2 linked regions of the Anolis sagrei genome follow. The protein of the gene in region 1 purifies or fractionates together with the protein of each later gene. This does not show direct contact. Links are inferred from orthologs where the notes say so. Each region holds a gene or a part of one and is shown in the gene's direction. Other genes may lie near its edges.

What was found.
Region 2: the proteins of TICAM1 (region 1) and TLR4 purify together in Homo sapiens (affinity purification with western blotting; 3 studies listed by BioGRID). This does not show direct contact. The link is inferred for Anolis sagrei from reciprocal best matches to the Homo sapiens genes TICAM1 and TLR4.

Annotation. Positions count from the first base shown.
Region 1 is NC_090034.1:55,716,708-55,724,381, forward strand, and holds the start of TICAM1 (TIR domain-containing adapter molecule 1), read left to right. Parts: upstream 1-4,426; 5' UTR 4,427-4,670; intron 4,671-4,685; exon of another isoform or gene 4,686-4,928; intron 4,929-7,674.
Region 2 is NC_090031.1:12,184,221-12,192,871, forward strand, and holds the start of TLR4 (toll-like receptor 4), read left to right. Parts: upstream 1-5,079; 5' UTR 5,080-5,150; coding exon 5,151-5,249; intron 5,250-8,651.

The DNA of each region.
Region 1 (7,674 bases):
TGGAGGGGTTTGGGGGGAACTGACCTTCCTTTCTGGGATTGTAGTTCACCCATAACGAGAGAAACTGTGACCTCCTCTGACGATGGAGTTGGACCAAACTTGACACACAGAACCCCCAAGACTTGAGGGGATGGGGTCACCATAGTGGGAGTTGTAGTTTACCCTGCGGCCACAGAGCACACTGAACCCTACCCATGTTGTATCTAGAGCGAAGTTTTTTGGGGTTAACCTGGCATCCAGCTGGACAGACAATGAGGATGAAAAAGTGGAGCAGGGATTTGTTTCTATAATAAAAGTTTCACCAATACCCATAATGCATTTCTTCCTATGAATAAAAACACTTTGGGATTCATCAAAGCACTGGCGTATTATTCCTCTTTTAATTTCAGTGCACACCTTTCATTCAGCCCGTTCAGACCTGATGAAGACAAGGGATGAAAAGGATCTCTTGACAACAAGTTGGCACAAGAAAACTATGGGTTGAATGCCAGACGTGGGTTTGGCAATGGGAGTTGCAGTCCAACCGGTTTCTTTGGCGTAACCATCCCTCCAAGGGAAGAAGTGTCCAACCGGTTTAGGAGTGTGGATGAAGCACAAAAACAACAAAGACACAGCAAAGTTGCCATTTTGGACTAAAACTCTCATAATCCCCTGCCAGAGTTCGAAACTCTGGGTAATATTTCAGTAGACAAGACCACGAACGTTGGACCTCAGCTTTCAGAAGCCTCCATAGTTGGGGATTATGGGAGCAGAAGTCCAAAACTTTTGGCAAAACAAGTTTCATACAGGTATGGGCAAACCCGGGCCTGGGGGCCGGATGTGGCCCCTTGGGCTCTTTTCTCAGGCCCTCCTCTCTTTCCATCCTATTCTTCCTTCTTTCTCTCTTTTCTTCCTTCTTCCCTCCCTCTTTCTTCTCTTACACCCTTTCATCCTTCCTTCCCTCTTTCCTTCCTCCTTCCCCTTCCATCCTTCCTTTTTGTCTTTCCTTCCTTTTCTTTCCTCCCTCCTTTCCCTCCCTCTTTCTCCTTCCATCCTTCCCTTCTTCGCTTCCTTCCTTCCCACCCTTCCCTTTTTCCTTCCATCCTTCCCTTCCACCCTTTCGTCCTTCCTTCCTTCTCTCTTTCCTTCTTCCTTCCTTCTCTCCCTCTTTCTCCTGCCATCCTTCCCTTCTTCGCTTTCATCCTTCTTTCCCTCTTTCCTTCCTCCTTCCCTTTCCATCCTTCCTTTTTGTCTTTCCTTCCTTTTCTTTCCTCCTTCCTTTCCCTCCCTCTTTATCCTTCCATCCTTCCCTTCTTCGCTTCCTTCCTTCCCTCCCTTCCCTTCCTCTTTTTCCTTCCATCCTTCCCTTTCACCCTTTCATCCTTCCTTCCTTCTCTCTTTCCTTCTTCCTTCCCTCTCTCCCTCTTTCTTCTTCCATTCTTTCCTTCCTCCCTTTTGTCCTCCCTTTTTTCTCTCTTTCCTCCCACTTTCTCTTTCTCCTGCCATCCTTCCCTTCTTCACTTCCTTCCCTTCCCTTCCCTTCCCTTCCCTTCCCTTCCCTTCCCTTCCCTTCCCTTCCCTTCCCTTCCCTTCCCTTCCCTTCCCTTCCCTTCCTCTTTTTCCTTCCATCCTTCCCTTCCACCCTTTCGTCCTTCCTTCCTCCTTCTCTCTTTCCTTTTTCCTTCCCTCTCTCCCTCTTTCTCCTTCCACCCTTTCCTTCCATCTTTTCTCTTTTCATCCTTCCCCTCTCTTTCCTTCATCCTTTCCTTCCTTCCCTCCATCACTGGGCAGCCAGTCCCCCTAGCAGGGAGTGCTGCCGTGTGGCCCCCAAGTTTGCCCAGGCCTGGTTTAATAAATATCGAGCAAGGAAGTGATTGAATGATGGATCGTAAGAACATGAAAAACCAGCCGAAAGCTCAGAACAAAGATCTGGGGAAAGACGCTATTCCGATGGATGCAGCCTAGAATCGCATTGGCCTTTGCTGTTGCTGCATCACACTCTTGACTCTCATGTTTATCTTGCGGTCTACTAACCACTTCATCACATTGAACCAGGACAAGTGTTTGGTAGAGTAGGTCTATCGTAGGTTAATCTCCCCCAAACCCTGCCAGTATTCAAAGTTGGCCAGATTGGGTCTCTGTGTTAAGTGTAATAATAATAATAATAATAATAATAATAATAATAATAATAATCTTTATTTATACCCCGCCACCATCTCCCCAAAGGGGACTCGGGGCGGCTTACATGAGGCCATGCCCATCAGTACAGAAACACAATATAACACAAAAACACAACAGAAAATCAGAAAATAAAATGACATAAAATACAAAAATGCAAAATACAAAATATGCAAAAATGCATAAAATACAAAAATACAGCACAGCAATATAACATCAAAACATTAAACCACTAAAACGAACACAATGAGCAGGGCCAGTACAAAAATTAAAATTTTAAAACACTGGGAGATAGTCCAGATCCGTCCTCGGGGAGTTCAGAGGGCTCACTGGATAAGAGTGAACTACAAGTACAACTCCCATATTCCAAGATCAATTACTCCCCAACCCCCCCCCCCCCCCCTGTATTCACAGTGGGCCGTGTTGGGTCTGTGCTCCAAGTTTAGTCCCGATCCAACATCGACTAGGTTCAGTGCTCTCTGGATGAGGGTGAACTATAACTCCCAAAATATCAAGATCAATTCCCCCTAAACCCCTTCATTATGTTCTGTTGGTCATGGGGGTTCACTGTGCCTAGTATGGTCCTGGTCCATTGTTTGTGAGAGTGACAATATCTCTGGATGAGGGTGAACTATAATTCCCAAAAAATCAAGGTCAATTTCCCCTACACCCCTGCATTATGTTCTGTTGGTCATGGGGGTTCACTGTGCCTAGTTTGGTCCTGGTCCATTGTTGGTGAGGGTCATAATATCTCTGGATGAGGGTGAACTATAACTCCCAAAAAATCAAGGTCAATTCTCCCTAAACCCCTGCATTATGTTCTGTTGGTCATGGCGGTTCACTGTGCCTAGTTTGGTCCTGGTCCATTGTTGGTGAGGGTCATAATATCTCTGGATGAGGGTGAACTATAACTCCCAAAAAATCAAGGTCAATTCCACCTAAACCCCTGCATTATGCTCTGTTGGTTATGGGGGTTCACTGTGCCTAGTTTGGTCCTGGTCCATTGTTGGTGAGGGTCATAATATCTCTGGATGAGGGTGAACTATAACTCCCAAATAATCAAGGTCAATTCCCCCTACACCCCTGCATTATGTTCTGTTGGTCATGGGGTTCACTGTGCCTAGTTTGGTCCTGGTCCATTGTTGGTGAGGGTCATAATATCTCTGGATGAGGGTGAACTATAACTCCCAAAAAATCAAGGTCAATTCTCCCTAAACCCCTGCATTATGTTCTGTTGGTCATGGCGGTTCACTGTGCCTAGTTTGGTCCTGGTCCATTGTTGGTGAGGGTCATAATATCTCTGGATGAGGGTGAACTATAACTCCCAAAAAATCAAGGTAAATTCCCCCTAAACCCCTGCAGTATGTTCTGTTGGTCATGGGGGTTCTCTGTGCCTAGTTTGGTCCTGGTCCATTGTTGGTGAGGGTCACAATATCTCTGGATGAGGGTGAACTATAACTCCCAAAAAATCAAGGTCAATTCCCCCTACACCCCTGCATTATGTTCTGTTGGTCATGGGGGTTCACTGTGCCTAGTTTGGTCCTGGTCCATTGTTGGTGAGGGTCATAATATCTCTGGATGAGGGTGAACTATAACTCCCAAAAAATCAAGGTCAATTCCCCCTACACCCCTGCATTATGTTCTGTTGGTCATGGGGGTTCACTGTGCCTAGTTTGGTCCTGGTCCATTGTTGGTGAGGGTCATAATATCTCTGGATGAGGGTGAACTATAACTCCCAAAAAATCAAGGTCAATTCTCCCTAAACCCCTGCATTATGTTCTGTTGGTCATGGCGGTTCACTGTGCCTAGTTTGGTCCTGGTCCATTGTTGGTGAGGGTCATAATATCTCTGGATGAGGGTGAACTATAACTCCCAAAAAAATCAAGGTCAATTTCCCCTAAACCCCTGCATTATGTTCTGTTGGTCATGGGGGTTCACTGTGCCTAGTTTGGTCCTGGTCCATTCTTGGTGGGGGTTACAGGATGTCTGGATGCGGGTGAACTACATCTCCCAAAAATCAAGGTCAATTTTCCCCAAACCCCTGCAAGATTCCTGGATCCTTTTCCTATGGATTATGACTTCCCTCAGTCTAGATACTATCCTCCTATGGATGCAGCCTAAAATCACATTGGCCTTTGCTGCTGTTGCAGAACATTGTCGGCTTGCAAAGGCTCCTAGAACACATTGACTGCTTTCCAGCCAAATTAGTCTCTGTGCATTGCATTCCTGTGGCCTAAGTGTAATATTGCACATTTCTTCCTGTTGGGAATTCATTGTGTTTGTTTAGGCCCCAGCTCTCCAATCTGTCGAAAGTATTTTGGACTCTCACCCCGTCCTTTGAACCAGGAAACGGGCTCAAAACTTTCAGGAAACTGCTCGGATTCAAGGCCAGACGCTTCCTGTTTCGTTGCTGTGCATGCCCCACCTCGAAGGCCCATACCGCTGGGGGGACTCCCCGCTCCTTCGGCCCCTTTGGCATCTGAAGCCTTGCTGGATTTGTGGCAAAGAGCCAGGTAAGGAGTAGAAGTTGGCAAAAAAGTCACATTCCTCTCTTCGCAGAGGAAGGAAAGAAAAAGCGATTGCCTCGATTCAACCGTGTGCAGCATTACACTTCGGCAATAGAAATACAATGGAGTCTCCTTCCTTCGAGGTTTGTAAGCAGAGGCTGGATGGCCATCTGCCGGGAAGGCTTGGATGGTGTCGTCTGTGAATTGTCACCCTCCCCAAACAGGCCTTCGTCTCCAAGCTACATACAGTCTCCTTCTCTAGAGGTTTGTATGCAAAGGCTGGATGGCCATCTGTCAGGAGGGTTTTGATTGTGTTCCTGCCAGGCTAAAAGGGGATGGATTAGATGGCCCTTGGGGGTCTCTTCCAACTCTAGGATTCAATTATTCCACCACCCTCATTCTCCATGTTTAATGTCTATGAAGTTGGATGGCCATCTTTCGGGAGGGCTTTGATTGTGTTCCTTCCTGGGATAAAAGGGATGGACTAGATGGCCCTTTGGGGTCTCTTCCAACTCTAGGATTCAACGATTCCGCCTGCTTCTTTCTCGATGCATAATGTCTATGAGGCTGGATGGGCATCTGTCAGGAGGGTTTTGATTGTGTTCCTGCCAGGCTAAAAGGGGATGGATTCGATGGCCCTTGGGGGTCTCTTCCAACTCTAGGATTCAATTATTCCATCACCCTCTTTCTCCATGCTTAATGTCTATGAAGTTGGATGGCCATCTTTCGGGAGGGCTTTGAGTGTGTTCCTGCCTGTCATAAAAGGGATGGACTAGATTGCCCTTCGGAATCTCTTCCAACTCTAGGATTCAACAATTCAGTCCGCTTCTTTCTCCATGCATAATGTCTATGAGGCTGGATGGGCATCTGTCGGGAGGGATCGAATGGTGTTGCTCCCTGGCAGAAGGGGGATTGGACTGGATGACCTTTGGAAGTCCCTTTCTAGCATGCTCCTTGTTATATTTGGAACCACACTTCTTTCTGGCTTACCGACATTCCTATCGGTAAGTTTCGGAAAAACTTTCCTACTTCTTGTTTGATACTTTCCTGGTTTAAAAACTTTTCTATTTGGGAAGTAAAGAGTTTGATACTCCCTGGGTTTCTCTTTTCTGCTTCTGGAACTCTCTGCCCTGGAGTGTGGTGGAGGCTCCTTCTTTGGAAGCTTTAAACAGAGGCTGGATGGCCATCTGTCAGGGGTGATTTGAATGCAATATTCCTGCTTCTTGGCAGGAGGTTGGACTGGATGGCCCATGAGGTCTCTTCCAACCCTAGGATTCTATGATTCGGCAATGCATTGCTGATATTGCAATAGACTGCTTTTATGCCATCTGATTTTATCTCATCTAAATAATAGCTTTGCTGTTTATCTTCAATACATTGCACTGAGTAACGCTATTCTTTTAATACGCAAGGGCAGCATGACAATTATTTTAAGTGCAGATTTGGTGCGCTGCTATATCGCCTTGTGCTTATTTTGTATGTCTATTGCCTCAGAGTATCAATAAGCTAATAGAGTGTTTAAACCGTTCATTTTTAAATGTACTTTACTTACGTAGGCGATCCCATGATGGTGTCTTTGTGGTGGGTTCGTAGGTTATTCTTGATACACATTGATACACAGTGAGGACATCGGTTTCCAGGTGGAAGGCGGTCCCGGTCAGGGTTGGCTTGATGCGCCTTCTTCCTCTTGGCACATTTCTCCCTTTCACCTTCCATTCATGCCTCTTCGAATTCCGCAGCACTAGTGGTCACAGCTGACCTCCAGTTAGAGCCCTCAATGGCCAGGGCTTCCCAGTTCTCGGTGTCTATGCCACAGTTTTTAAGGTTGGCTTTGAGCCCATGTTTAAATCTCTTTTCCTGTCCACCAATGTTACATTTCCCATTCTTGAGTTGGAAGTGTAATAACTGCTTTGGGATGGGATTGTTGATGGGAAGTTTCCCACCGGAGTGGAAATCATCTATCTGACAGATGGCAAGCTATTCAAACTCAGCAGACTGAAAGCCAAAACCAAGGTTACAACAACATCTGTTATAGAACTCCAGTATGCTGATGACAATGTCGTCTGTGCGCATTCAGAAGAAGATCTACAAGCCACTCTAAACACCTTTGCAGAAGCATACGAGAAGCTCGGCTTGTCATTGAACATTGAAAAAACCAAAGTGCTGTTCCAGCAGACACCAGCCAACCCCTCCCCAATGCCAGAGATACAGCTTAATGGTGTAACATTAGAAAATGTTGATCATTTCCACTACCTTGGCAGCCACCTCTCCACCAAAGTCAACATCGACACCGAAATACAACACTGCCTGAGCTCTGCGAGCGCAGCATTTTTCCGAATGAAGCAGAGAGTGTTTGAGGACCGGGGCATCCGTAGGGATACCAAGGTGCTTGTTTATAGAGCTATTGTCCTCCCAACCCTGCTATATACCTGCGAGACGTGGACTGTCTACAGACGTCACATGCAACTCCTGGAACGATTCCATCAGCGCTGCCTCCGGAAAATCCTGCAAATCTCTTGGGAAGACAAGCGGACAAACGTCAGCGTGCTGAAAGAAGCAAAGACCACCAGCAATGAAGCAATGGTCCTCTGCCATCAACTCCGCTGGACCGGCCATGTTGTCCAGATGCCCGACCACCGTCTCCCAAAGCAGTTGCTCTACTCCGAACTCAAGAACGGAAAACAGACTGTTGGTGGACAGGAAAAGAGATTTAAAGATGGGCTCAAAGCCAACCTTAAAAACTCTGGCATAGACACTGATAACTGGGAAGCCCTGGCCCTTGACCGCTCCAGCTGGAGGTCAGCTGTGACCAGCAGTGCTGCGGAGTTTGAAGAGGCACGAATGGAGGGCGAAAGGGAGAAGTGTGCCAAGAGGAAGGCGCGTCAAGCCAACCCCGACCGAGACCACCTTCCACCTGGAAACCAATGCCCTCACTGCGGAAGAAGATGCAGAGCAAGAATAGGGTTCCATAGCCACATACGGACCCACAAGAATATTGGAAGACAATCCT
Region 2 (8,651 bases), on another chromosome or scaffold:
AAATAAACAAATAAACAAATAAACAAATATGACCCCTTTTCCTCTCCACCTGGCAGTGATCCAACCAAAGGTCTTCCAAGATCCTGGAGATTAGGGTGTGCGTGCCTGCCTGCAGCTGAGTACTTCCTCTAGAGTAAGAAGCAGAGAATATGTCTCCTTGCCTTGGAAACTGCATGTGGCATGCAGCAGACCCAGAAAGTACATGTGCCTGCATGCAACCAAGTGCCTCCTCTAGAGTAAGAAACAAGTAGGAAGCATCCTTAAAATGTGTGCCTGCCTGCAGCTGAGTACCTCCTCTAGAGTAAAAAAAAACAGCATAAATGCCTAAAATGACAGGAAGGGGAGCCTGGAAAGCTCCCTCCATAAGGGACTGATAGAAAACAAATCTTTCAGGACCACAGAGCAAAAACATCTGCCCTCTTGATTTTGGAAGGCTCCCAAGAAATGGAACAGCCCCCCCCCCCCCACCAAAAGTCGAGATCAAGGTTTATCCCAAATGCACAAGTCTATTTTCCAGTGCAAGATGTTAGGGCTGTCCAACCACGGAAAAATTTGTTTCTAAACTCGATTCGTTTTTAGGCGATTTTTGCGTTTCGTTATTTAAAAGAATTCCAAAATTTTTCTTTAAAAAAGTTCGATATTTACGAAATTTTGGAAATTACGAAACAATTTTGAAACAATAACGAATCGATTCGTTAATGGCGGATGCGATTGCGCAATACGCTAAAAAAAACCACCAAATGGGACAGGGGGAACTTCTGAAGCTTCCCTCTCCCTCTGTTGTTGACTGTTGGTGTGATAATTTATTTTTTATCACTGATAAAACAAACAACCATAAAGCTTGCACCAGACATACGGAAATAATAACGAAATAATAATGAAACAATTTCAAAACAATTACGAAACAATTACGAAACAATTGCGAAATAAATTTTAAAAATTCGTTTCGATTTTTAGTTGCTCCTGAATGGTTCAATATCACTTCGTTATAAAAAAAAAGAATTAATAATGAATTACGAAATTAACGAACGAAACCGCCCAGCCCTACAAGATGTATACTATGTGTTTAGGACAGTGTTTCTCAACCTGGTTGTCGGGACCCCTGGGGAGGGGGTCATGAGGGGGTGACTGAGAGGTCACCAAAGACCATAGGAAAACACAATATTTTCTGTTGGTCATACGGGTTCTGTGTGGGAAGTTTGGCCCAATTCTATTATGGGTGGGGTTCAGAATGCTCTTTGATTGTAGGTGAACTATAAATCACAGCAACTACAACGCTAAAATGTCAATGTCTATTTTCCCCAAACTCCACCAGTGTTCACATTTGGGCATATTGAGTACTCCTGCCTAGTTTGGTCCAGATCTATCATTGTTTGAGTCCACAGTGCTCTCTGGGTGTAGGTGAACTACAACTCTCAAACTCAAGGTCAATGCCCAGCAGCCTTTCCAGTATTTTCTGTTGGTCATGGGAGTTCTGTGTGCCAAGTTTGTTTCAATTCCATCATTGGTGGAATTCAGAATGCTCTTTGATTGTAGGTTAACTATACATCCCATTAACTACATCTCCCAAATGACAAAATCAATCCCCCTCCAACCCACCAATATTCAAATTTGGACGTATTGTTTATGTGTGCCAAATTTGGTCCAGTGAATGAAAATACATCCTGCATATGAGATATTTACATTACTATTCATAACAGTAGCAGAATTACAGTTATGAAGTAGTAACGAAAATAATGTTATGGTTGAGGGTAACCACAACATGAGGAACTGTATTAAGGGGTCGTGGCATTAGAAAGGTTGAGAACCACTGGTTTTGGAGGAAGCATATGGAATATCACAATCCGAACATGGCATCTCTGAGGTTCCTCCTGAGATTCAGACACTGAATGGTGGTATCCCAATGTGACCCTGCTCCCTCCCTGCATGGCCATTCATGCATTCATGCATTCAAGCAAGAGTCAACTGGGAATGGGGTGACACTTCAACAAAGTGGTTGCAAAGTTACTACATGCTGCTCTGTAAGCGTGAAAGCGTGCACCAATGCTCTTGAGAGTTACTGAGAGCATTCTCTGGTAGCCAATTGACTGCATTTCATTTGGCCTGTTGTCTTCCATTTAATGTAATTGCTGCTTGCTTGCTGATTGGAAGCATCTGTGGGGTTTTTAAAAGTACTATATGTGTTCATGGGGTGTTTCTCAGACTCATTAGCTATACTGCCTTTAAGAAATAAACAACAGGAATGGGCATCTTGATTCAAATCAAGGGGTACCTGAGACAAGGATGTGTCCTAATCCACATATTTGTTCTGGAAAAATGATTTAGGTAGATTTGCTTGCTGGCTACTTGCTGTATGTCTTCAGTTTGTCGTTGACTTGTGGAGAACTTGAAGTGAAGCTATGATGGGATTTCCTTTACATGATTTATTCAAGGGAAGTCTGAAATTGTGTTATCTGGCAAAGCTTGTGGATCACCCATGGTTATCCAGTGAGTTTCCATAATTGAGAAGGGAGTCTAGCCCTAGTTTCTTGGAGTTCTGCTCTAGTTTTCTTATCTGCTTATAAGCTCAATCAAAATTAAACTCTCCTTCTTCTCTTTATTGCTGGCCTTGTGTATCCCTGCAATGGCAGGGGCTGGACTAGTTGTCCCCTGTGATCTCTTCCATCCTTCACAGTGTCACGATGCCAGGGCTCTGCCATTATTTAGGTAGAGATGAACCAAACAAATACCCAGTTTATATCAAGCAGTTTAATTAAAACACACTTATTTTCTGGCTGTTTTAATAGTCCAAAATATAAAACATAAAGATTGTACTCAGCCACAGAATATAAAACAAAAACAGCAAACACTGTTGCAGGTTCAAGATAACTTCATAGTCAAAAGGTCCAGTCCAGTGGTCAAACGCCGAGAGTTTAATAAACAAAGTCCAGGGATCAAGAGTATACCGTAGTCAAAAGCCAGTCCAAAGATTCAAGGTTCCAGGATTCTAAAGGTTCAGGAGTCAGATCAGGACACCAAAAAGCCACAAACCTGGGGGAAAACCAACAGCATCTACCACCAAGACAAAACAAATACTATTCGCCCAAAGATCAGTCCCAAGGCTAGCTCCTTATATCCAGAAACACCCAGCTGCAACCCATCTCTTACATACCTAAACCCCTAATTGCTTTCAACCATGAACTCTTACTTACAGATTACTTAACCCTTTAGAACTAATGCTTACATTAACCCTTCCATCACCAACCACCATCAACTGCAGAACATAAAACATGACACACAGGGCCCAAAGATCATCGTATCATGGAGTTTTTTTTGGGTAGATTTGTTCAGAAAGGCTTTGTTCTTGCTTTCACCTGGGACTGCTAAACCATGGTTTGCCCAAGGTCATTCAGTAGTTATATCATTGTTGTTAATCCCAACTAGAGCAGTGAATAAATTGACAAATAGTAGGGTTGTGCATGGATTGCATGTCCTTCGCTATCTCCGGGAGTATGTAACGGTAAGGGTCCTCCTAGTACAAAAACCCACCTGAAACAAAAGCAAGTGGGAGCTGATCTCTGCTCCCTCCTCCTTCCCTATTCAGCATCACAGTTGAATCTTTTTTATTTTTATTTTCCTGATTCTTTTTATTTAGTGGGTCTGACTGGGAGTTGTGGACCTGAGGGATGGTGAGTGGGGTGCCTCCATAAATTCCCCATTGCCATTAATGGGCCAAAAAGAGCTGGTTTGTTTTTTTGTGGTGTTTTTTTTTGGATGCGGAATGAAAATGCCCATTCAGCAGCTTGGAAGAACCATTTTTTTTTAATGCGGAATGAAAGCCCCCATTCGGGAGGCACTTGAAAACAAATATGGTGGTCTTCTAGTAAGCAGAAATGGATAGTGATTCACCCAAAATGTACAAGCCTAATCAATAGTGAGTCAACATGTAGGTGAATCCAGTTGACCTGTTAAGTCAGCGTTTCTCAACTGGGGGTCGGGACCTCTGGGCGGGTTGCAAGCGGGGGTTAGAAGGGCCACCAAAGACCATCAGAAAACACAGTATTTTCTATTGGTTATGGGCATTCTGTGTGGGAAGTTTGGCCCAATTCTATTGTTGGTGGGGTTCAGAATGCTCTTTGATTGTAGGTGAAGTATAAATCCCAGCAACTACAACTCCCAAATGTCACGTTCTATTTCCCCCAAACTCCACCAGTGTTCACATTACAGCGTATTGGGTATTTGTGCCAAGTTTGGTCCAGATCCATCTTTGTGTGAGTCCACAGTGCTCTCTGGATGTAGGTGAACTACAACTCCCAAACTCAAGGTCAATGCCCAACAAATCCTCCCAGTTTTTTGTTGGCTGTGGGAGTTCTGTGTGCCATATTGGGTTCAATTCCATCGTTGATGGAGTTAAGAATCCTCTTTGATTGTAGGTGAACTATACATCCCAGCAACTACAACTCCAAATGACAAAATCACTCCCCCCAACCCCACCAGTATTCAAATTTGGGCGTATTGGGTATTTGTGCCCAATATGGTCCAGTGAATGAAAATACATCCTGCATATCAGATATTGACATTACAATTCATGCCAGTAGCAAAATGACAGTTATGAAGTAGCAACGAAAATAATGTTATGGTTGGGAGTCACCACAACATGAGGAACTGTATTAAGGGGTCACGGCATTCGGAAAGTTGAAAAACACTGTGCTAAGTACTCTCATCAGAAGTAAGAACTGCATACATGACTGGCTTTCCTCAAGTGAAGTTGGAAAGGAAGGGAAGGAAGGAGGCAAGAAAGAAAGAAAGAGAGAAACAACAGAGGGCAGAATCACAGAATTCTGTATAACGTACGGTTTTAAGTCCGTCTGACCAAAAAGAGGAACTCATATGGCAAGACTGAACTTCCTCTTGCCCTGCAGTCAACTACAGCATGCCTTTCTAGACCTCCGTTTACCAGAAGGCAACATAGATCTTGCACCAGGGACAACCTCCGGTTTGCTTTTTTCTTTCTTTTTCAATTGCACTTCCTTCTCCTGCTGTGTGTAGATTTGCCCGTTCTCCTAGGATCTTGGCCTGCCTTACATGACGAAGCAAGTGTTTGTCTGCTGGATTTTCGATCTCTCTTTCCTGCTTATTTCTCCTTTCTTCCTCATGTTGTTAGCTTGAAGATGCCCAGGGGTGGTGCCCTCTGCCCACAGATGTTCTTCCCTTTGCTGGTGCTGTTTTGGTCCCAGTGGAGAACCAGCTGCCTCAATCCCTGTTTGGAGGTAGGTCAATGAGAAGTTTGTTTATTTACTGTATTTGTATACTGCCTTTCTCAGCCTATCGGCAACTCAAGGCGGTTTCCAACAAAACAGTATACATAGTATCATAATACAATTTTAAAACAATTAAAATTACATGAATCACAACAGCAATAAAAACAACATCATTGGCTTCTCCTTACTGTCAAGCATTGTCCAGTTCCATCGTCAGTTATCCGTTCCTATGTCACTTGTTTGTATCCATTACTCTGTGTTTGTGAACGCTTGCTCAAACAGCCACATTTTGAGTTGCTTCCGAAACATTAAGAGGGAGGGAGCAGATCTAATCTCTCTGGGGCGGGTGTTCCATAGCCGGGGAGCCACCGCTGAAAAGGCCCTGTCTCTTGTCCCCGCCAAACGTACCTGTGACGAAGGCAGGGCTGAGAGCAGAGCCTCTCCGGACAATCTCAAGGTCCTAGTTGCTTCATAAGGGGAGATAGTTCAGACAGGTAAGTTGGGCCAGAACCGTTTAGGGTTTTATAGGTTGGAACCAGCACTTTGAATTGTGCCCGGTAGCGAACTGGCAGCCAGTGGAGCTGGCGCAACAAGGCGGTTGTATGCTCCCTGAGAGCCGCTCCAGTTAGCAATCTGGCTGCTGTCCATTGGACCAGTTGACGCTTCCGGACAGTTTTCAAAGGCAACCGCACGCAGGGGCGGCTTGTCCATTACTAGAAGTAAGCAGTCGCAGAACACTTTTTTTTTGCCAGGGGTGCAGAGGCTCCTGTAAATGCCCCTCGACTGCCACTTGAGGAGCACCCCCTCAGCTCACAACAGCCCTAGCAGTCCGGGGGGATGGGACCTCAGCTTTCTTGCCTCGCTGCCAGGCGATCCTCTTCCCAAAGGGGCCGGGCTCTTGAGCCTCGCCTAGCCCCTCTCGTTCCTGCTCCACCCGGCCAGTGGGTGCGTGAGCAGAGCTGGCGCTCAATCGTTCTCCGCATTCGATCCCTTCCCCATGCCCGGCTCCCTTTCCCAATCCCCCGGCGCTCCACCCGCCTCCTCTCCTCTCCCGAATCCGCAGGTGGGCCAAGGGGTGGAGCTGCCGTGCCTGGCCTGCTTTGGGTCCGGAGGCGTGTCTGAAGACCCCAGTGTGTGCACCAAAAGTCGCCTCTTCTCCTGACTTTCTCTTCAGCCATTGGGACCAAGAGAGAGAGGGGGGGGAGCCCCTCCGGCTGGAGGTATCTCCCACCTCCGCTTCCTCCTTTGTTTTTGCGCCTACCTTCAGGAAAGGTGGGCATCTCCACCTCTCTCTCTCTCTCTCTCTCTCTCTCTCTCGGTCCCAATGGCTGAGGAGAAAGTCAGGAGAAGAGGTGACTTTTGGTACACACGCCGGGGTCTTCAGACACGCCTCCGGACCCAAAGCAGGCCAGGCAAGGGAGCAAATGCGGCAAGTGTAGTTACTGGGATGTATAGTTCACCTACAATCAAAGAGCATTCTGAACTCCACCAATGATGGAATTGAACCAATATGGCACACAGAACTCCCACGACAAACAGAAAATATATATCAATGATTCGTTGGGGGGGGGGGCACCAAAATACTGTTTGCTTACCGTTGAAAATTACCTATGGCTGCCTCTGACCGCACGTAGAGAGCATTGCAGTAGTCTATACGGGATGTAACAAGAGCATGGACTACTGTGGCCAAGTCAGACTTCCCAAGGTACGGGCGCAATTGGTGCACAAGCTTTAATTGTGCGAATGCTCCCCTGGTCACCGCCGAGACCTGGGGTTCCAGGCTCAGCAATGAATCCAGGATCACACCCAGACTGCAAAGACAACACAGATCTTGCACAAGTTGTAATTGCTTTTCTGGTCCTCTCTTAAAACTCTCCTTGTTTCCTTCCGATAGCCTTTGAAATGTATCTGAAAGCTGGTGGATTTTTTTCACCCCTTTTAGCTGAATATTTTTATAAAATAGCCATTGGCAAAGGTAATCTACAAGTGAACAGTAAAGCTGAAGATATAGTTTAAGAGTTTCTGCACATAGGCCCAGTTATTGATATCAACTATTTATTTATTTATTTATTTATTGCATTTATATTTCGCCCTCCTCACCTCAAAGGGGAATCAGAGCATCTTACAATATATATATGCATATAATATATTATATTATTAGCATAATACAGGGTTAGTCAAAATGAATAGGCCAATAAGAAAATTAATTTTAGACGAATGTATGTTTATTGTAACCAAACTACAGCTACGTATCGACAGATAAATTATCAAAGTTTTGTCTCACCTTCAGAGATGTTCGATATGGGTGCCCCGTGTGACACGGCAGACGTCCAAGCGATAGTCCAGTTCATTCCACATCCGTTGCAGCACATCCGACGTAATGGCATCGAATGCAGCACACGCGGTCGTCCTGTGGTTTTACCCTTGCATAAGCAGCCCGTCTCCTCAAATTGCTTTACCCACCTCGCAATGGAATGTCGATGAGGTGGTTCCTTGCCATACTTGGCTCAAAATTCTCGCTGGACCGTAATTACTGACATTGTTTTAGCAAATGTCATCACACAAAACGCCTTCTCTTTGCCTGATTCCGCCATTTTGAAAACAGCGACTCCTAGCGACGCCTAGCGGCATTAACGTACATGTGTGTTGCTCAAAAAAAACTTTGATAGTTTATCTGTCGCTACGTAGCTGTGGTTTGGTTACAGTAAACATACATTCGGGTACAATTAATTTTCTTATTGGCCTATTCATTTTGACTAACCCTGTACAATATCAGTATTAAATATTGATGCTTGCTGGAGATTTTTATGGCGTCGTAAATTAGTCTCCCTGCATAAGTGATACCTAAATTTTCTACTTGACAGATGCAACTGTCTTTCGGGCTGCAAAGGTCGACAGCAAGCTACACAAATTGGTCGGACGCTCACTCCGACCCGGGCTGGCTTTGAACTCATGACCTTTTGGTCAGTAGTGATATTATGTCTGTCTTAACTAACATGTAACCCAATTATTTCACTAGGCCTACTCTTGATATTCAGAATTCACCCCTATGTCATAGCCTGATTTTACATTCAGTGGGGTCCCACATCAGATGGTACAAAATGGCAAAACTATATCACCTGGGATTCTAAGTCTATTCATTTGGATCAGTGGTTCCCAAGACCTAAAATATGATCCATGGTATCACCATTACTACATTGTTGCAACGAAAGTGACTGGTCTCACGGAACCTCTGATAGTGCCAAGGTGAGCAGATGGCGACTATTGGATGGCATATGTTCTGTACCAGAAACTAGAGCTGATGTGGTCTATCCAATGAAATTTTCTGAATCAGCACTCCAAAGAACCAAACTGAATCTAAAGTTGACCAAAAACTGATTCGTCACCCTTTTGGTACTAATATTGGAGAGT